Nothobranchius furzeri: one gene and its partners. The main gene of each other region encodes a partner of the protein of the gene in region 2 in a complex. Links are inferred from orthologs where the notes say so. Each region holds a gene or a part of one and is shown on either strand. Other genes may lie near its edges.

The links.
Region 1: the proteins of thoc1 (region 2) and thoc5 are in contact, whole or in part, in a cryo-EM structure (PDB 7APK), measured with the Homo sapiens proteins. The link is inferred for Nothobranchius furzeri from reciprocal best matches to the Homo sapiens genes THOC1 and THOC5. Residues at the interface, in NP_005122.2 of Homo sapiens: Glu60, Arg145, Arg146, Leu147, Ser148, Ser150, Gln151, Lys285, Met286, Leu289, Val296, Tyr297, Phe298, Leu302, Ser304, Leu307, Leu310, Gln311, Ser313, Asp314; in NP_001002877.1 of Homo sapiens: Tyr52, Arg113, Lys120, Asp124, His127, Leu128, Gln131, Asn132, Leu134, Tyr135, Glu136, Met138, His139, Thr145, Lys146, Glu149.
Region 3: thoc1 (region 2) and alyref share a complex: the UniProt entries of both Homo sapiens proteins name them as parts of the transcription/export (TREX) complex. The link is inferred for Nothobranchius furzeri from reciprocal best matches to the Homo sapiens genes THOC1 and ALYREF.
Region 4: thoc1 (region 2) and chtopa share a complex: the UniProt entries of both Homo sapiens proteins name them as parts of the transcription/export (TREX) complex. The link is inferred for Nothobranchius furzeri from reciprocal best matches to the Homo sapiens genes THOC1 and CHTOP.
Region 5: the proteins of thoc1 (region 2) and thoc7 are in contact, whole or in part, in a cryo-EM structure (PDB 7APK), measured with the Homo sapiens proteins. The link is inferred for Nothobranchius furzeri from reciprocal best matches to the Homo sapiens genes THOC1 and THOC7. Residues at the interface, in NP_005122.2 of Homo sapiens: Leu10, Arg14, Glu46, Gln53, Arg56, Glu60, Ile63, Ile64, Asp99, Asp102, Cys103, Leu104, Pro105, Arg146, Gln151; in NP_079351.2 of Homo sapiens: Tyr47, Gln51, Leu54, Ser55, Ser58, Gln59, Phe62, Gly65, Lys66, Leu69, Val70, Met73, Arg76, Glu77, Asn80, Ile84, Ile88.

The regions. Positions count from the first base shown.
Region 1 is NC_091757.1:44,994,543-44,998,622, reverse strand, and holds the start of thoc5 (THO complex subunit 5 homolog), read left to right. Parts: upstream 1-1,271; 5' UTR 1,272-1,386; intron 1,387-1,607; 5' UTR 1,608-1,609; coding exon 1,610-1,708; intron 1,709-2,384; coding exon 2,385-2,528; intron 2,529-2,756; coding exon 2,757-2,870; intron 2,871-3,226; coding exon 3,227-3,324; intron 3,325-3,547; coding exon 3,548-3,694; intron 3,695-3,812; coding exon 3,813-3,927; intron 3,928-4,080. UniProt on the Homo sapiens protein: Component of the THO subcomplex of the TREX complex which is thought to couple mRNA transcription, processing and nuclear export, and which specifically associates with spliced mRNA and not with unspliced pre-mRNA.
Region 2 is NC_091751.1:49,147,951-49,152,025, forward strand, and holds the start of thoc1 (THO complex subunit 1), read right to left. Parts: upstream 2,808-4,075; 5' UTR 2,759-2,807; coding exon 2,711-2,758; intron 2,058-2,710; coding exon 1,984-2,057; intron 1,905-1,983; coding exon 1,844-1,904; intron 1,774-1,843; coding exon 1,704-1,773; intron 1,549-1,703; coding exon 1,430-1,548; intron 1,330-1,429; coding exon 1,281-1,329; intron 1,192-1,280; coding exon 1,096-1,191; intron 987-1,095; coding exon 904-986; intron 818-903; coding exon 744-817; intron 670-743; coding exon 561-669; intron 452-560; coding exon 317-451; intron 176-316; coding exon 75-175; intron 1-74. UniProt on the Homo sapiens protein: Component of the THO subcomplex of the TREX complex which is thought to couple mRNA transcription, processing and nuclear export, and which specifically associates with spliced mRNA and not with unspliced pre-mRNA.
Region 3 is NC_091752.1:50,607,595-50,611,702, reverse strand, and holds the start of alyref (THO complex subunit 4), read right to left. Parts: upstream 2,810-4,108; 5' UTR 2,683-2,809; coding exon 2,443-2,682; intron 2,179-2,442; exon of another isoform or gene 1,946-2,178; coding exon of another isoform or gene 1,739-1,945; intron 483-1,738; coding exon 324-482; intron 239-323; coding exon 91-238; intron 1-90. UniProt on the Homo sapiens protein: Functions as an mRNA export adapter; component of the transcription/export (TREX) complex which is thought to couple mRNA transcription, processing and nuclear export, and specifically associates with spliced mRNA and not with unspliced pre-mRNA.
Region 4 is NC_091751.1:23,238,917-23,242,584, forward strand, and holds the end of chtopa (chromatin target of PRMT1a), read right to left. Parts: intron 1,636-3,668; coding exon 1,458-1,635; intron 1,387-1,457; coding exon 1,234-1,386; intron 1,148-1,233; coding exon 945-1,147; 3' UTR 510-944; downstream 1-509. UniProt on the Homo sapiens protein: Plays an important role in the ligand-dependent activation of estrogen receptor target genes. May play a role in the silencing of fetal globin genes.
Region 5 is NC_091743.1:56,272,738-56,276,478, forward strand, and holds thoc7 (THO complex subunit 7 homolog), read right to left. Parts: upstream 2,286-3,741; 5' UTR 2,199-2,285; coding exon 2,180-2,198; intron 1,973-2,179; coding exon 1,849-1,972; intron 1,745-1,848; coding exon 1,617-1,744; exon of another isoform or gene 1,318-1,616; coding exon 1,231-1,317; exon of another isoform or gene 1,113-1,230; coding exon 1,055-1,112; exon of another isoform or gene 977-1,054; coding exon 910-976; exon of another isoform or gene 818-909; coding exon 748-817; exon of another isoform or gene 676-747; coding exon 614-675; 3' UTR 510-613; downstream 1-509. UniProt on the Homo sapiens protein: Component of the THO subcomplex of the TREX complex which is thought to couple mRNA transcription, processing and nuclear export, and which specifically associates with spliced mRNA and not with unspliced pre-mRNA.

The DNA.
Region 1 (4,080 bases), on a different chromosome or scaffold from region 2:
CTGCTAAGTCTGAAAAGAGTAGCAGAACTGTTTTATGTATTAAGAGGATTTCAGTATAATTTGTACAAGTCTGTAAATTTGAAACACTGTCAAACTGTGAATAAACACTTATGTTACTTATGTTGTTAGACTGATTGATTTCAAAGTAGAAAATTATATATTTAGGTCCTGTAATTTTTAGTTTGATGCAAGTTTGTTCTAGATGGGTATCAAATGGTGCTGCATATGTAACTATTAGAAATTAACTTCTGATTGTACGTGATGCAAAAAAACTTACAGATGTTCCACTTAAGAATTAAGTTTATTGCCACAATACAAGGTAACAATCAAAAGAGTGAAAAATATGAACAAAGATCTATGCAAATAGATTGCTCTTATAGGACTGAAACACTGTGCATCGTGTCAATATGATAGATCTATAACTGCTTTATGAATACATTTGCATTAAATGGAGAATTACACTTACAAAGAAAATAACTAATATGGAAAAATGTCTGCAAATTTATAATATTACATTTACATTTTTGAAATGACTATTTGTGGAATTTCTTAAAGTTACAGTAGCTTTTAGGACAGTAGGTCGCGCTGTGTCCTCCGTTAGCGCTAAATGCAGTGCTTTTTGACTCTTGGGCTCTAGATATGAGACCCAGAGTGGCGCCGCCATATTGGATGGGCCTCCACTTTTTTAAATATTATCATTAAATTCTTATTAAAATTTCTCGTGAGACAACAACACATAATAGAAACATACAAGGCATCTTTAGTAACAATAAAAGAAAAACAAATAAACTTAAAAAGAGGTACTTATATCACAAAGTAAAAACATTGTTACAAGATTAAACATTTTTCGGCAGCATGACAAATGGCTTTTGCAGTTGCATTTGAATTTTTTATACGAGTCAAAGTGGATAAGAACATATGGAATTCATTTGTGAAACAGTTCTTGTTGCCTCCTCACTCTAAAGTCAATCCAGAGTTATCAACTATGCCCGGCAAAAACATCACGTGGATTTACTAGTGCCTTTTCTAGCCTACCTGATAATATTTTTTATTTTATTTTTATTTATTTCGTTTAATTATATTTATATTTTAATTATGCCATACATTGTGTCTGATTTGGTTAAAAAGCTTGATATAATGTGTTTTTAGTTGGGTAAGCAGCAACTTCATCAGTAGATGTAAATGCACCGCAGGCGAATGGAGACCCATCTAAGATGGCAACCGGGCGCTACGGCAGCTGAAATAGGCAGCGCCTGTCCTTGGAGCGTCTACGATTACGTATGTCTGTGTGTTGGGCTTCCGTCCTAAATCGACAATTTGTATGTAGAGGGAGTTCTCGTTTTTACGTGTACTATTCTATCAAGTAAAGACGTAAGTTTGGACCAAGTGAGTATTTGTCGGAAAACATACTATTTATAACCACAATGAGCGCATAATATCCGTCAAAATATTAGTTCTATTAGTTTAGTATACCGATGTTAGCTACAAGCTAACGGTTATTAGCCCGTGTTAGCTTGCATGCTAACCGTATGTCATTGTTACTAAAGTGATGTTTTCATCGGTGTTTTTTTATCGGTCTAAAACTCTTTATTTTCACATTCTAATAGCCATGTCTTCCGACGTTCTTAAGAAGCGGAAATCGAAGGTTCTCCGCAGTGAAGCAGGAACCCCGGAGGTGAAGCGGGGACGTGGAGAGGCGGACCAGCAGGTAGACAGAATCACTCAGAACTTTGTAAATAAGTGGTGTCCAATCATGGACATGTAGGCCCACTGTCCAGCATCTTTGTTTCAGCAGCATCTAGTTTGAATGAATGGATAGTTAGCATGCCTCTGTAAACTTGAAAACACGAATCTGTTAAACAGCAGTGGATTTGAGCAGGGAGATAACTAAAACATGCAGAATCGTGGCTCTCAGTGACCAGTATTGGACTTCATTGCTGCGATGAATTTACTAATTGAAGCTTTAATTGTACTTACTGTTGAGTTTACAAATATACAGAACATTGGCAGTTAAAAATGTCAGAGTTTGCACATTTTATTTTATGTGATGATCAATCAAACAGGGACATTTTCTGCCTCTCAGTTCACGTCCTACAGGTTCCTTAAAGTCAAAGTTATAGTTTTTATAGGTGTTTGAATATTGAATTGCGGTTAATTCATCCACATAGTATTACACAAGGTTAAATCTGTTTTTGTGGTAACAATTGAACATCTCATGTTGAACAAGTTCACAGGAATATTCACAGCACATTATGTTTTTAAACACTAGGTTGCATGTTAGCAACCCAAAAACAATAGTGAGGTAGGTGTGTAATAACTTTAGAATACTATGAAGTAGTATATTATTGATGGTTTTATTATTGCATGCTTGTTTCTTTTCCCAGGATGTTCGTGTCTATAATGAGGAGGTGGAATTGGATGGCAGGAACCCTGAACAGGACTTTGATCAATACAAAGAGTCATGTGAGGCTTTATCCAAACTCATGAGTGAGATCCAGAGGATGAAAGCCTCTGGTGCCAAGGAAGGGGTAAGAGCCATAATCTCTACAATACATCACAGCAGTATACAACTTTCCTTTAGTTTCTTTTTCAAACGTTTCCTTTTCTGCTGGAAAATCTCTACTAAACATCTGTTCCAGATGTTTCTTTTATTGACTTTTTCACATGCCATATCAAAGCTGTAAGATCTGAAGTTAAGTGTATGGGTATGAAAGTAAATATCCATATATATATATACATAAATGTTTCTTTTTAAGAGTATGGATGTCGAGCAGAAACGTATGCAAAGCTGCATCCTCTTCATGAATCTTAAGAAGCTCAACCGTCTAGCTCACATGCGACTGAAAAGAGGCAGAGACCAAACACATGAGGTAATTTTCACAAGTCTACTTTTGAACTGTGGAAAAAAACTGTTATAATTTAAAATGTTTTGTTTACTTTCTGGAAAGTGTTTGTTTGTTTTGTGCTGATTGCAGGAGGAATGTTTAACAAGAGGCACCTTTTTCATTTTAACATTCAACCACAGTGAAGGCTACAGTCAATGTGCAATACCAGTTTAGTTTTTGTGTTCTTTGTTAAGCTTTGAGTGTTTTACTTCAAATTTGATTTACATTCATTAATATGATCAAATGCTGAGTTTTGACAAGCATGCATTTATTATTTTTTAAAGGGTTATTTTTTTTGTTACTTTACAAATTTCATTGGTGATTACTTTTTCTGTTTCCAGGCTAAACAGAGAGTTGATGTGCTCCACCTTCAGCTGCAAAATCTGCTCTATGAGGTTATGCATCTTCAGAAGGAGATCAGCAAATGTCTGGAGTTCAAGTTAGTACTAAATTCTTTACTTGACTTCAGCCTTTAGTTTTTTCAACACTTTTTATTTATAATTTAAGATGAAATAATCAGTTTTATTAAAAGTGTTTAAGGATGTAACAACATATCTCTATAAGAAACCACTAAACAATTTGTTTCTTTTTAATTTAACATTCTCAGCACTACTTGAAAAGTATCCTGTCATGTCTAATTAAATTCTCCGTCTCTTAACAAGATCTAAGCATGAAGAAATTGACTTGGTGAGTGAAGAAGAGTTTTACCAGGATGCCCCGCCGGAGATCTCCAGGCCTTCTCTCACAAAAACCGATCCCCACCAGCTCACACTAGCACGGCTGGACTGGGAGCTCGAACAGAGAAAGAGGTACAGAACTTTACCACGAAATAGTACACATTTGTACTATTGTGGTTACTTTTTGCTGTTCGGTGTAGTCTTTGTCTGGCAGAGAGCAGCTGATTAAAGTATTTTTTGTTGGAAACAGGCTAGCTGAGAAATACAAGGACTCACAGGCCACAAAGGAGAAAATTCAGAAGAGCATTGAAGTGAAGAAAGAGCATCTAAGAAGCTTGCAGCCAGGACTGAATGCTATCATGCAGGTAAAAATAACAAAAACAGATTTTTAATGAAAATTTTACGCTTCCAAGTGAAACATGTCCGCTTTAAGATAGTAGGAGGTTGCATATGATTGCATACAATATTTTATAAATGTAATTATATGTTTCTACTTGGTCATCTTTTATCACTGTGTT
Region 2 (4,075 bases):
AGAAATCAAAAAGCATAAACATGAACTAATTCCATCCCAACAAGTGATATTTGTTTAGTTGCACAAATGTTCACCTTTTGAATTTGACCTGACCCTTCAAGTACTGGAACAGGATCAGGTACTGCACCAGTATGTGTCTCCGGAAGTTGCTGTCGCTGAGCTGCAAGTCCATCAGCTGCAGATTACAAAAAAAAAAAAAATCCCAAAACAATGAAGTTTAACTTTTAAGACAGAAAAACATATGACTTACAGCCATAGTCAGTTAAAAACTGCTTATTTATACATGATTAAAAGATTTTTAATGATTTTTCTGCACCTTTTCGCTCGTGAGAAACTTGGCAAAGTAAACCTGTTCACCATCAGACGCTCGCAGCTCCTCCAACTTCCTCTTTGACGCCTGCATGTCATCCAGTTTGTAGCTTTTGAACACAGCAAGAGTCTCATCGGAGTACTGAGCAAAGCAAAAGCAACACACAAGTTTATTTATTTTTTTATCCTCATCTTGGATATTGACAGTGATCCGTCAAATTGGTCAGAGTTGCTGCACCGAGGTGGATTACCTTAACAAAAGTAATCCATGAGATTTTTTCATAGCACTGCAACGGATTTCTAAAGTAGTCCTGCAATGTCCAGAACTTTCTGTACAGGTTGTAGTCAATCGGAATAGAACTAAGGAACAAAAGGGTACTATTATTTCATGAAGGTGAAAATGTGAGCAAATACAGCAAATGGTTTTCATTCACCACGGTGCCGGGGCGTCATCCTCCCCCATTTCTCCTTCCTCCACTTCCATGCCGTCTTCCTTTTCATCAGCGTGCTGTCAACATAGTAGCAAAAAAACAGATGAAACAGGATGGAAAGGATGAGCTCATTAACCTAATAATTAACCTAACAATACTTCACCTTCTGACCAAGAGTGCTTTCTTGTTCATTTTTATTGAACACGGTTATGTTGTCCAGATTAAACTGGCTTTGTAGATTGAGACCTGGATTAAAACACACACAAAATCTATTTAATTGAGAGGTTTACAATATGATTGTAAAGTGCTTTGATTTTTTTCCCCTTCAAGTTAGAAAAATAACTGACTTTCTTACCGGATTTTTCAGACAGAGGAAAGAGACGTGCCAGGAAAAGCTGGATTCTCCCACAGAATACTGTATTCTGGGATTTCGACAGCCTCCTTAAAAGATCTGTACAGATGAAACAAAAGTCACTTGCACCTGAACTTTCTGAGAATAGAAAGTCTTTTGGATGACAGAGAAAAAGACAAGATTTTTACCGTTACACATTCTCAACAAATAGTTCTTTCCTGCTGTGTAAAAAGAGCTCTGGAAGAAAGAAACAACACAGGTACAATAATGAAACCTTCTAACAAAAACAGAGAAATATTTTTGTTGCCTTTACAAAAAAAAATGCCTGTAATTATACCGATTTCCAGGTAGAGACATTTTCTTCAACAAAAGAGAATATTTTGTCACACAAGTCAAGGGGAAGGCAATCCAGAACGTCTCCCAGCAGGACAAAAGGAGTCGTAGCAGAACAGATACCTGCATTAAAAACAGAATAAATGTTACACTGTCATTTGTTTTAAGAGACGTTTTACCAAAACTTATATCAAAGCGATCCTTTCAACATGTATGTTTAAAATCCAAAATCATCTAATCTAAAATAAATATCCACCTCAGCAGTAGTGATAACATACCCTCAGTAACAGCATTGATGCTCTGGTAGATTAGAGACAGATAGTCATCACAGCATGATTTCTGCTCAAGCTAGAGAGAAACAATCATTAGCGATTCTCACATATTTTCAAATTTAAATTAACTAACTTATTAAACTTACAATCTGGTCACCAAGAACACTCCTCAAAGCCTGATCCAGTGTGGTCTTCTTTTCCGTCTCACTGACAAAAACACACAAGTAGTAAATTTGTATTTCTGGATTATTTTGATCTGGAACCTCGACCCAGGAGCACAACTTACTTGCCGGGGAGTTGGTTAAACACGGCGATTAGGGGTTTGCAGGTTTTACCAGCTAGTGCTTGTGTGCTTGCAGCCTACGGTTGGGTGAGCATGGGAAAGGACATAATGAGAAACAAAAGACGATGCAGAAGTTTGCTTCCGTTTTCAAGCTTCCGATTCGGGAAATGGCTAAGGCCAAGGCCACTCTCAATTTTTATATACGGTGACCATCTTTAATCTGCTTCATCTTAAAAACTACAATACCTAGACAGTTCAAACCTGGACGGGATTATTCTAGACTAATAGCAAATTCCATAAAACAGTTTGTGATTTGTGAAACTTCAAAATCTGCCTATTTTAAGTTTCACAAATCTGAAAAAGGTTTCACAAATCACAAACTATGCTTTATGGAATCTGCTATTAGTCTAGAATATTCCAGTCCCGGTTTGAACTGTCTAGGCATTGTAGTTTTTTTAAATAGAGCAGATTAAAGATGGTCATAGTAAATAAAATTGAGTGCAAATGCTCTTTAGCCAATTTCCAAATCGGAAGCTAACTTCAACCTCGTAAACAACAGGACCGTTCAGAAGCGTTTACTTTAGCTTAGCTTCTTTGGCTAACTACTACACTAGTACAACAAGCACAACCATAAAGTAGTGAAGTTAAGATTTTTTACGGTTTTATCAACAAGTTGTCTTACATACAAATATATTATGGATGGAAATGACAGAAAGAAGCCACTTCTCACCGAAAATTTCTCTTTAGCGTCGACAAAATTAAATGAGGACAGAGACATCTTTACGCTTCTGAAACCGGAACCGCCAACGAATCACTTCCGGTTATGAAGTGGCGTTTTTGTACGTAAAGGGAATTATCTGACAAAATTATACATTAATACATATTATCTATAAACGGAGTTAGGATAAAACTAACTTTGTATTTTTTAATTTAGTTTCAAATAGTTCAGTCAGTCACATTTTTATTTCCATTTTGGATGAAAAATGGAAATAAACCGTAGCATAGCAATCTTGACCACACGATGGCAGTGTTGTACACCATTGTTGCTGTTAAAGTTTTTCATTATTTTTTAATTTGCTTACATTCATCAAACTCTGAGTGGCTGTAAGTGATGGATGCATGGAAACCTTCTTCAAATGGTGAGTTAAAATTAGTATTTCTACTTCCTGAAAATAACAGTATTAATATTTATTTTAATCCTAATTTCCCCACTGTATGGTTTAGTTTGCCTTTTGGCCAGGACTCACTTAAAAAAATCTTACACTTGATTTTTATTTTAAAGAGTCATGTTCCAAACTTTCTTTATAATAATAATTACAACAACAACAACAACAACAATAATAATAATAATAATAATAAGTTGTGTCAGCCATTGAATACTTGTAAAATAACGTCACTCTGTTTATATTGTATGCATTTCAAAGTTATATTTATTTTAACGGAAAGAGCGAAATAATTTTTGTCCTTTCTTGTTAATAAATATTTGACTTTGACAGGTCACAATGCACAGCAGTTGTAATGTGTTTGTTTTGCATGTGTGCCTGTCTTGGTGTGCACTTCCACATGTTCTAATCATGCAAATGAACATTCAGCTATGTGCTGCAGGCCTTGAATCCTTTGATACCATCTGCTTGTCTAACAATGTCCGATTTGACATTAGAATAACCGCTCCATTACCCTGAGACAACAATCATTAAACTAAAGATTTACTCAACCCATGTGAGAACACTGAAGCTTGTTTTGATCCAGGTCAAGACCTCTAGGATTTACATACAAGGATGATCCTTTTCAGCTCCTTTTGATGGGTGTTTGTAACCTTTTTGTGACAGTGTTTTGGTGGCTGTGCTGATGTTAAGAGAAGAACAATGACTTTGTGAAGTGGAGGCGTTTAGTGTCACATGGAAGCAGGAGAGGCTCTATTTCCTTCACGTGTGTGGTTGTAGTGTTCATGAAAAAGGGAAGTGAGGAGTGATTTACTAATACCTATTTTCTCCCATCCCTTATCTTACTCAGAGTTCATCAGATTGTTGCCAAAAACTGATGAAGAGCAGAAAGGGAGTAAGCACGATGAGAAACTTGGAGATTGTGCTGGGAG
Region 3 (4,108 bases), on a different chromosome or scaffold from region 2:
AATCAGCTCAAAGGGGGTTGAACACTCAAGAAAGTTTGAATTATTTAGTCATGTCAAACCAGAAAAATGTAAACAAGGTCTGAAGCGTACCATCCAGTGGGATGCCGTTGTACTGTTTCATGGCCTTTAGAGCGTCAGCTCTCCTTTCAAAGTGGACATCTGCTGTTCCTAAGCTTCTTCCCGACCGGTCGTAATGAACTGCAGCTTTCTTCAGAGTTCCGAATTCCGCAAAAAGTTCCTTGAAAAAGTACATCCAAGATTAGTCTAAGACAGCAACAAGCCATAAAACACAACCAACCAGTGAAGCGCGGATTTTGGAGTACCTGAATGTCTGCATCGGAAACACCGAAGTCGAGATTGGAGACGAGGAGCTTCCCTCCAGTTTCCACACCAGCTCCCCCGCCACCCCCAGCAGCACCATTGAAGCCACTGAAGCCGTTGTCGAACATGTCGTGCTGCCACTTGTCTGGGAGCTGTTTAGGCTGCAACAGATGAAAGAGAACGCACCTGCTGACTTCAGGATCCCCTTGCCTCTGCCCATCACTGAGTCCACACGGCTGGCTGTTGGGGCAAGCAGGGGGCTCCACTTCCAACATGGTGCTCAGCTCCCTTTAGAGGGGGGGGGGTCCCCAGTATTCCCTGCCCACCCCGTCACAACGAGCAAGTGCATCAGCTCAAAGGGACGTGCACACAAATACTCAAAAGCAAGGGGATTTGTAGTAGTCTCGCTTCGATTCAAATTTTGAACTTTTTTAAACGTTAACACACCAATGTTGGGCCATCTTAAATCGGAATGTGTACAAACATCACAATAAAGTCCATACTGATTTAAGTTAGTAAAAACATGCTCAAACTAGGGATGCAACGATACCACTTTTTTCCAAACCGATCTTAGTACTCGCCGATACCAATACAGATACTTCTACCACACAAAAAAAAAAAAAATGCAATGATTTGGAATGCAGATTTTACTTTCTTCTCTGCTTTCAACAGGAAAAGACTGTGAGGTAGATAAAAAGTAAAATATATGAATGGAAATCATCACAAAACTAAAATATTAGGTGAACAGAAATGACAAGTTACAGTGAAGCCATTTTCAAGCAACTGCATTGGTATCGGTTCCTGGTATTGGTTAACTTTCACCGATACTGGTATTGGTATCGGTGCCGATACCAGTATCGTATCGGTGCATCCCTAGTTCAAACTCACTGGTTCCCAAAGTTAGGACAGGACACCAATGTTGAGATTATCAAATTTAAAAATAATTGACATATATGAAGAGAAAACATCTAAACAGACCAACTGACAAGCGTTTAGTCTTGGTGAAAGTGGATGGAGTCATCTTCCTGTCCTAATGTAATTGTCTTATTGGCTATTTGTACGTGTCCGTCATGAATAATGAAGGTTTTTAATCACAGATCTTGTAAATCAGAAGTTAAAAGATCTGGGAGCCACTTGTTTCAATCACTCTAATCAACTGTCTAAAGAAAAATGGTCCCATTAAAGCCCACTTAAAATAAAAATGTATTCTTTAGATCCAAGTTTGATGTAGTAAATGGATTAAAAACAAAACCATAAAAACAAAACTCAACAGTCCTGTTCTGGGTTTCTAGTGAAATAAACCCTAGAATAGACTAACGAGCCTTTCCAGAAACCTAAGTATTACCATCACAGATATTTCTTAAACCCAAACCCACAGACTTGATGCTAAACCTGTAAAACTCCTCAGACTAGCTACCAGAGATGCCCATTGTTCTCGCCATCTGCGCCTCCCTCCAGAAAAGCCAGCTCCTCGGGACACTCGGGGACTCCTGTTCGATGCAGCGGCGTCTCCAGCGCTGGTACTTTGTGTCCTGGACCTCAGAACAGTTCTCAGTAGGGGAAGAGTCCGTGTGCTGGATGAGGAGTGAAAATGGCCAGATCTCCCCTCTGCGTGAGCGTCCATTTTGAAACCACGCCATTTTGACTGGGGCTTTGTTTGGCTTCGCTACCAACTCGATCACACTTTAAAAGACGAAGAACCGGTTTTGTTTGGGCACTAACAGAGGAGTAAAAGTCCGCTTTTCCATCCACAAGTAACAGGCAAACTGGTAGAAAAAGCCACCAGAGGGCTTGAGAACCCACTCCCCGAACAAAAGGCCGCCTGGTCGCTGCGCTGGCGGGAACTTGAGCACATATCCCGCTCCGACAAGCAGTGAAAACACACTTTCGAGTGATACTCTTGACGAAGTGGGTTTCTTTCACCACCGTGGCCAGGATACCTCTCACTGAGCACTCACTGACGACTAGCTTCACAATGCGGGGCTGGATTCAAAATGGCGCTGAGGGCCTCCACTCCTTCCGTAGGCTGTTGAAGCTCGACGTGCGTTACACATTTGGGTTGCGGGAGAAGGGACACAATATGAAAACATTTCTCTGCTTATTCCTCTAACATTCTCATACCCTGCTGTAAGGCGTAGGTCTGCCTCTAGCGCGACTCAGGTTCTGTCGATTCCTCATGGGGCCGGATCCACCGCCTCGGCCTCCAAAGCCTCCGCCGCCGCCTCCGAGTCGCCCAGCGCCTCCACCCCGGCCGCTGCCTGTGCCTCCGCGGCCACGGCCTCTTCCTCCCCGGCCTCCACCTCTCTGCTGCCTGCTCTGTTTGATAATGTCGTCTAAAGACATATCCATCTTATCGGTCATTTTGCTGCCCCAATAACGCTAAACTTTGAACAAATTAAGAATGTTACACCCTAGACACGGTCGGTCCCTCTCCCTGTCCCTTTCAAGGCTCAACGGTGTCTGATTCTTGTAGCAGCTGCTAAACACAAGTAGTAGAACACGACGTTCTCTACGTAAGCCTGACGTGAGTACGTGAACGTGATCCCCTCTACTGTCGACGATGAGGCGGAACCGGGCGGAGCATGTATCTAAAAGAAACCTTGACAGGAAAATGTGCGAATTGTGCAAAAGTTCTACACAGATGTGGTAAAATACAGAACAAATAAATAAATATTTTTTTGACAAATATGACATATAACATTTGATCGAAACTAAAACTGTAAACTGAAGAAATAACCGGGAAAAACTAAACCACATCAATCATCAATTCTTAAAAGAAACTTTCACAAAGTCAAGGATTTTAAAATAATATAGTTAAGTGTTTAAAGAGCAAGACACTCCCAGATCAACTTTTTTCTGATAAACTATATAAATGCGTATCTAACCGTGCTGCAGACACGTGTAGTTTTGCACTTTTGTGCATTTAAGTTAAAATTTAAATTTTCTGCCTAAAACTGTGAGTGTTGTGCCGTTGTCAGGTAAAAACTCTGCACTGCATTTGAATTTAAATCTGCCATCGTTATTGGCAAAGGGGTACCCTAGAACGTTAGCTGGTAGCATATGATGTCACAATGTCGTTGTGTGTGTGTGTATTTGTTAGCGGGCCCGCCCTCTTGGTCTGCTAGGCAACAGAATTTGTTGCATTTTTCAAACAGGAAGTGGGAGCGGAGTAATACTCTGGTAGGGGGTGACTTGCTCTTTAAGCAGTTACACAGAACTGGTGATGGCTACTGACCCCTTAGATTTCTAAACTTTTGCTTTTTTTTTTTTTTTTTTTTGCACAACTAACCAGTTTTGGGTTGCTTTTAGCAGCCCCTAGTGTTCTGTTAGTAAAACCAAAAGTGAAACTGTGCATTCACCTTTTTAAACACCTTAATCCATAATAATGTCTCCCCATCCTTCCTTAATTTCTACAGGAGCAGCTCATCACTAAATTGACCAAACCAGCAGTGTTTATGATCTAAAACATGCAGGAAGCAGACTGCAGCACCAGGCATGTCAGCTCCACAAGTCCAACTCTGAAGTTGCAAGTGCGACATTCTGGCCATAGAGGGTGGTCGGGGTCTGAGTGACATTTCATTAACCCTGTACAGGGTTGTTTTAGCACACACTGGCTCAAGAAAATTTTAAAATATGAAAATTTTGCAAAACACTTCAGATAAACAATTATTTGATCTTTCAAGGGAAAAAGCAGCCAAAACCTGGCACTGCATGCCTATTTGTAATAACTGCAATCAACCATTTGCTTTTGAGATCATTGAGCCTACTTGACATTGTCAGACATGTC
Region 4 (3,668 bases), about 26 Mb from region 2:
CATTCTTTGTAAACCCTAGAAATGGTTGTGGGTGAAAATCCCAGTAACTGAGCAGATTGTGAAATACTCAGACCGACCCGTCTGGCACCAAAAACCATGCCACGCTCAGAATTGCTTAAACCACTTTTCTTTCCTATTCTGACCTTCAGTTAAGAGTTCAGGAGATTATCTTGACCAGGACCACACCCCTAAATGCACTGAAGCAACTGCCATGGGATTGGTTGATTAGATAATTGCATTAAGTTAAACAGGTGTTCCTAATAATCCTTTAGGTATGTGCGCACACACACATGGTTCACAGGATGTAGTATAGAGAAGTTTGTAGGTCTTAGGTTTGAACGTCCAACCTTCTAACTGGTGACGTTTTCCCAGTGAGACACAGCCATGGAAACCATGTCCCTGTGGGCACCAATCGCAGAACAAAAGCTAAGATCACACCAGGACATCTGCTTTTCTACATGCTCCAGAACACCTACAGGCCTTAAATGTTTGACATGAATCAGAAAATATCTCATTCATCATTTTATTTCCTTAACACAACTTGGGAAATAATTTTAAAACAAACATCTTGTCAGCTTCACGGAATACAAACAACCCAAAGCCTGAGCACTTCTTTCCCTGTCAAATATAAGAGAAAATGACTCGTCTTAAAATTCTTGTAAAATTATCATTTTAAAAAACGTTTCCACTGCAAGTTTAAGATGAGCCAAAGAAACTCTGGAGGTTTGAGGAAAAACTAAGAAAAACTAAACAGTTTACACCAAACACCTGTTTGACTAAAACTTCATACAGGAAGTCCGTGGACATCAGGGTCAAAGTCCCCTTGAGTTTATTCATCAGCTGATTGGCTCTTCAGCAGCAGGTGGATGCACGGCTAAACAACAGGGTGCAGCAACACCACTTGACGCTACGCCCCAGTCTTCAGCTCTGGTCTCGCTGGGCCGTCACTCCATGCTGTCGGGATCTGCCTGGGCCATGTAGGCATCCAGTTCTGCATCCAAGTGTCCCTTGGTCTTTGACATGTACGCATCCAACTGATTGTCCAGTTGTTCCCTTGTAACGGTGGGCCGGCCAAGTCCTCTGCCCCGCCCACGGCCGCGGCCCCCACGACCAGCAAATCCCCCACGTCCACGAAGTCCACCACGGCCTGAAGACAGAACATCATCAGTGAGACAGTGAAAAAAAAAAAGACACGAGTCATCAAACGATTGTACTAATAAATACAAACTCTACCCCGGCCTCTGGGCATTCCACCTCGACCTCCTCCTCGAGACAGAACTCCTCCTCTTCCTGCCACTCCTCCACGATGCCGACCTCCTCTACGCATGGGGAAGCGTCCGATGCCCCCCCGACCTCTCATAGGTCCACCTGTAGGCATTCGCCTGGCTGTTTAACACAATGTGATTGCTCAGCTGAGAGGAAACACCCCTACCATCTCCACGCTGACGGACACCTACCCCTCAGAGAAGACAGACCCCCACGAATGATCCCTCCTCTCAAACCCCCTCTGAGGCCTCCTCTGGTCATCCCCCGCATGCCTCCTCTTCCTCCAGGAGGTCCACCCCGCATCAGAGGCCCAATGGGCCGGCCCAGCCGGGCCTGGATGTTGCCTTTCCCCAGACGTTGCTTTAGGCTCTGGTGGTTCAGAAGGATCGGTCACAGCAACAAATCAGGAACACAAATAAAGCGAAGCAAGAGTAGGTCCAGCTTGTTATCCCAGCTTTCCATCAGACGCGCGAGCGTCACAAAATGTCCACAAAGCGTAGTACGTAGCACTTAGCTTCTATTATATTTACCTGTAAAACCTCTGTGACTGAGGTAAACAGTAAGTACACCACAGACCTGCTAGGATACCGTTACCATCTTTCTCCATGCTTGTTATCACGTGAACCGCTGAAATCATGCTTGATCTAGCGTTTTCCTGTGATTTTGTAACGTTGTGGGTCCAGCTGTGACACATTCACTGCCGCTTCATGTCAGAAAATCTCCCGGTGAGACGATATGCACCGCTGAGCTCGTGAGGAACCGCGTCACTTATGCATCCAGTGGAAAGCTCAGGTTAAGCCGGGTGTACACTGTGCGACTTTTTCACTTTTTTGAGCCGATTTTCCACTCGTGCGAGAATCCACGAGATCGGGGCGAGTTTTGCGCTGAGCGTCGTGTACAGGGGGCTACGAGAGGCGATTAACACCACGTGACCAGCTACCGATCAGCAATCGTGAGCTCGCACAGACTTCTGGCGTGTTTAATATTTTGCTCGTCCCTCGTGAGGGTATCGCACTGTTGAAGCGGCGCTGCGAGCAGCTGCGACCCAAAAAGTACCAGAACCGCTCACGGCACATGCATGCATCAACACCGCTCGCCCGCTATTTCCCTAATAACACACGTTGTTCGTTTTTATTTTCTACACTTTTTTTACTCACAAAGGTTGTCAAGAAAGCGTGTTTGTCGTGTTCATGTCAAATTAAACTGATCACAAAACACAGATTTACTTTCTTTATTTTGTTTTCCTCATCCAACCCCCATAAATCCCTGTGTGTCCCCCTGCAGCACTCCCGAAGGACAACAGGCAAAACAAGACAAAAAAGTCTGACGTGTTGTGTAAAAACTGCTATTTTTAGCACATTTTTAGGGCCGACGTGTTGCTACCAGACGTACAGCGTGAGCAGTCAGATCGCATCCGAGAACTGGGTCGTGCAGTGTGAGCGCACGACTCGTGAGATCTGCTCTGTGAGGAAGTCGTACAGTTTGAGCTGAAGCTGAGTGCTACGAGTGAAAAAGTCGCACAGTGTCCGCCCGGCTTAAGGGTACAACAAGACTATTTGGACATCTCACCCCTGATTGGCTAACAGCAACACAACTCTACCACTAACCTTGTTTGATTTGCATCATTGATGTTTTACCTCCATAAATGAATGAGTTCTACTGTATAGAGTAGCAGCTAATGCTAACAGTTAGCTTCTATTAGCCAAGGCAAGCTCTAGTCTCTCCTGAATGCTAAACCAACAACTGCCTTCCCCATCTTGAGCCAAGATGGCCGAGTCCATGAATGTTAACTTACTGTGAGGTAGATCTGACTGGCTTTGCTAACCTGAGAATTTCCTCGTCTGTTTTCTATCGGCTAATGCAGGAAAAAGGGGTAGAAGACTATTCACATATTCAGCCTGCATGTGAAACTCAGAGTGACCAATCATTTAAAAAAATAACACATAAAAATGGTTTCTCAGTGAACTTGTTCTTTAAACCTTTTATCAGCTATAAAGCAGCTCGTTTCGATTTGATCGTTGTCTCACTCCCATTTCTTTTTTGTTGCACATTGAAGCTCTACTTGGGACCTTGTTAATGACCAACCAAACAAACACGACGTTTGGCCATTTTCAAATGGTCTTAAACTTTTGATCAGGACTGTACTTCCCAAACAGCAAATGCATCTTCTGTCAGGCTTGGGTTTGGTTTCAATGATAATTCACTGATAAAACCAGAACAGAATCTTTCTGACTTGAGAACCCATCAGACCTTTGCTAACTTGTGCCCTTTTCCCTACTGAACACAGCTTTAAGCCTGATTTATGCTTCTCCGTCTGCGTCAGTGCGGAGACACGCAACGCCATTATCCGTCCTTGCGTAGGGATCCGGCAGGCACGCAAGTCCGTACGGAGTCGAGCCCAC
Region 5 (3,741 bases), on a different chromosome or scaffold from region 2:
TAGACTTTATGGTTCGGTTAAAACAATTTACAGGGGTTTGCAACAAAGTACATAGTGATCATTCACATAGGAAGTCAGAGGCTTTCTTTCATTGTGGTTTATTTACTACATCAGTAAATTTTGGCATTCATTTTTAAATAAATGAGCAAAACCATAATTCTTGTTACAGACGTCTTATTCTCAGAAGAATGTAATTTTGTGAACTTTAAATCAGAAACTATTTGATAGTTTGGTATGAAAAAATGATAATTTAGTATGAAAAAAATGATAATTGGGTTTAATGACACTTAGATTTTACAAGTATTCAAACTCTCACTTATAGTGCAGAAACTTCCAGAGAAAATACAGCACATATGAATGTTCAACAACTGTTCTGTCCTTGACTGACGCGTATTAAATTTCTTTTCTGATCAGAGTTTCAGTTGATTTTCTTAAAAGCCTGGAAGCTTTGGTTACATTTTTACTGAGATTATTTTAATGAAAAGAGAATATAAGAATTAAAGATATACTCCAAGATGACAGCTTTATTCAAAAATACATACAAAAAAGGATTCTTAGACAAACTAAATTTCAATTAAAAGCTGTGACTCCTTCAGTTGGGCTCTTTATGTGTTCAATCCCCATTCTCCATGGGACTCTCCTGACTGTGGTCGTCACTATCTGACTTTTCATCATCTAGGAAAGACAGGATAGACGATGAGGGCAGCTCTGACAACAGTTTGTCTGTATAACCAAGTGGCTACTTACTTTCTAGTGTCTGCTGCAGCTCCTGAATGGTAGTAAGAAGAACATGAAACTGCTTCTTCCTCAACTCCAACTAAAGAGAATGCAAACATGGCATAAAAAGTCAGTAAAAATACAACTAAATCTGATACTTTAACAACATTAGGCCGCTGTGTTTGAGTTTACCTTTGCATCTACGTTCTCTTTGATGTGAGACAGTTGCTGGAGTTCTTTATCGAGTGCCTCCAACTGCCTGGAAGGTAAAACAAAAATGAGCACTTTATTGAACATGAAGGGGAGCTTGACATGTTTTATCGATAGGCTGACTTACTGGAGTGTTTCATGTCTGTCTGGGTGTTGCTGGATTACCTTTGCTAAAGCATCATATTCTTTGGAGAGACAGAGAACAGATACTTAAAAAAAAGTTTACATCCTTTTGACAACGCACATTTGATACCACATCTGGTAATTTTTCTGTAAATACAACAGATGTTAAAATGTCCTTACCCTGGCGATTTTTTCGTATTCTCTTGGCACGCAGAATTTCTTTTTTGCATTCTGTGATCTTCTCATGTGCAGATGTGATGTTTTGTTCTGCGAGGTGCGAAAGAAAAAAGTTTGATTAGTGTTAATTGGGCGATGGTGGCACAGGAGTTAAGTGCTCGCCCCATAATCAGAAGGGTGCAGGTTCGAGCCCCGCTCAGTTGTAGCTACGATGTAGCTCATCACCACCAGTGTGTGAATGTGTGTGTAAATGTCTGATTGTGTTGTGTTGTAAAACGCCGTGGGGGGTTCCAGGACTAGAAAGCTCTATAAAATACAGGCCATTTGGCATGTATGACTAAAAGAATTAACAAAAAATTCTGTGACATTGAAAACAAAGCCGATCTTACCTATGTTTGCGTAGATCTTCTCATAATTCTCCATTTCACGAAGATTCATGTCATAAACCATCAACGTCTTTCCCATAGAAAACTCACACTGAGCCAGAGTAGCCACCATCCTCTGGTACTGAGTGAATCTACACACAAAGAGCCCAATGTTCAGCATTTCACTGCAGTTGTGTACTCGGCATTCAAGATGTTACAAGCAAAAACTGGAGACAGATATATTGCTAGCTCGTACCCTTCTTCTAGGGTCCCAGAAGGTGAGTTGCACCACTTGGTGAAGCTCTTCAGCAGCAGATTGATTCGGCGGTCATCTCCAGCTCCGTCACCGTCAATGAGAAGACGTTTTCGAATCACCTCATCTGTGGAACATGCAATAAAGCAGCTGAAGAGCGTTGAAAACATAATGCATCTATGCTAAGTGTGCTAGCTAACGTCGCTATTACAGGTAGCATTTCTGGGTATTTTTCCAGATAATAAGGCGCAATTTACAATGTTTTAAACTTAGACGAAAACAAAAGTAAAGAGTAACTTAAGTGCTGAAATTAGTTAATGATAAAGCCACAAACCATCAGTTACAGCTCCCATGTTGCTGTTTTTCTTCTTCTACTACTTCCGTTCTACTGGTACTGATTGATCTTTTGTCTTTAGGCAACTCAGACACAGCTGAGCTCGTTACTGCCTTATCTGGTAAGAGGACGTTACTGCATGTTGTGATCTTTTCGCTTCATCTTCGTTAAATAATGTGGATTTTAAGTATACAGTGATTACAGTGATTATGTGACACAGAGATTTAGTTTAAATGCAATTTAGTAATACCACTAGGTTTTTTTATCACACAATCAATTACAAATTACACAATCAAGTGATGAAATTGAATTACGGTAGAATACATTTTTCAAAGGCAAAATGAATGCTGTAATCACTTTTTGCTGTGTAAAAAAACGCCTCAATTATGTATGAGCAAAGCCCTGCTCATAAAAACAGCATATGTTGTGTTTGGTGCTGGTTTAGTGGTAGATCAGCATACAATGCTGGTCTAGCAAGATGGTTCAGCATCCAGTCACCAGCTTCCCATACTGGACAGGCATTGTACACATCTTTTAACACAAAACCCTAAACTTTTGCAGCTGTTCAAAAATAAGCACTTTCTTGACATCAAAACGTGTCTTTAAAATTCACAGACATATATGTGAAATATATGGCACATATCAAATAGGATTAGATTAGGATTAGAAAATAGCCTCTCCCTGGGCTGCCACCTTAGCGTGGTGGAGGGGTTTGAGTGCCTCAATGATCCTAGGAGCTAAGTTGTCTGAGGCTTTCTGCCTCTGGTAGGGTCACCCACGGCAAACAGGTCCTAGGTGAGGGATCAGACAAAGAGCAGCCCGAAGACCTCGTATGATGAATTATATAAATGGAAAACGTGTTGCCTCACCCGGACGTGGGTCACCGGGGTCCCCCTCTGGAGCCAGGCCTGGAGGTAGGGCACATTGGTGAGTGCCTGGTGGCTGGGCTTTCACCCACTGAGCCCGGCCGGGCACAGCCCGAAGAGGAAACGTGGGTCCCCCTTCCCATGGGCTCACCACTCGTGGGAGGGGCCAAAGGGGTCGGGTGCAGTGTGTGATGGGTGGTAGTTGAGGGCGGGGACCTTGACGGTCTGATCCTCGGCTACAGAAGCTGGCTCTTGGCACATGGAATGTCACCTCTCTGGTGGGGAAGGAGCCTGAGTTCGTGTGTGAGGTTGAGAGGTTCCAACTAGATATATTCGACTCACCTCAACGCATGGCTCTGGCTCTGGAACCAGTTTCCTTGAGAGGGGTTGGACTTTCTACCACTCTGGAGTTGCTCCCACTGAGAGGCGCCGAGCAGGGGTGCGCATACTAGTTGCCCCCCATCTTGGTGCCTGTACTTTGGAGTTTTCCCCAGTGAATGAGAGGGTAGCCTCCCTCCGCCTATGTGTGGGGGGACGGGTTCCGACTGTGGTCTGTGCTTATGCACCAAACTACAGTTCAGACTACCCACCCTTTTTGGAGACCTTGGAGAGGGTGCTAGAAAGCGCTCTTTGCAGTGACTCCCTCATTCTGCTGGGGGACTTTAACGCTCACATGGGCAATGACAGTGAGAACTG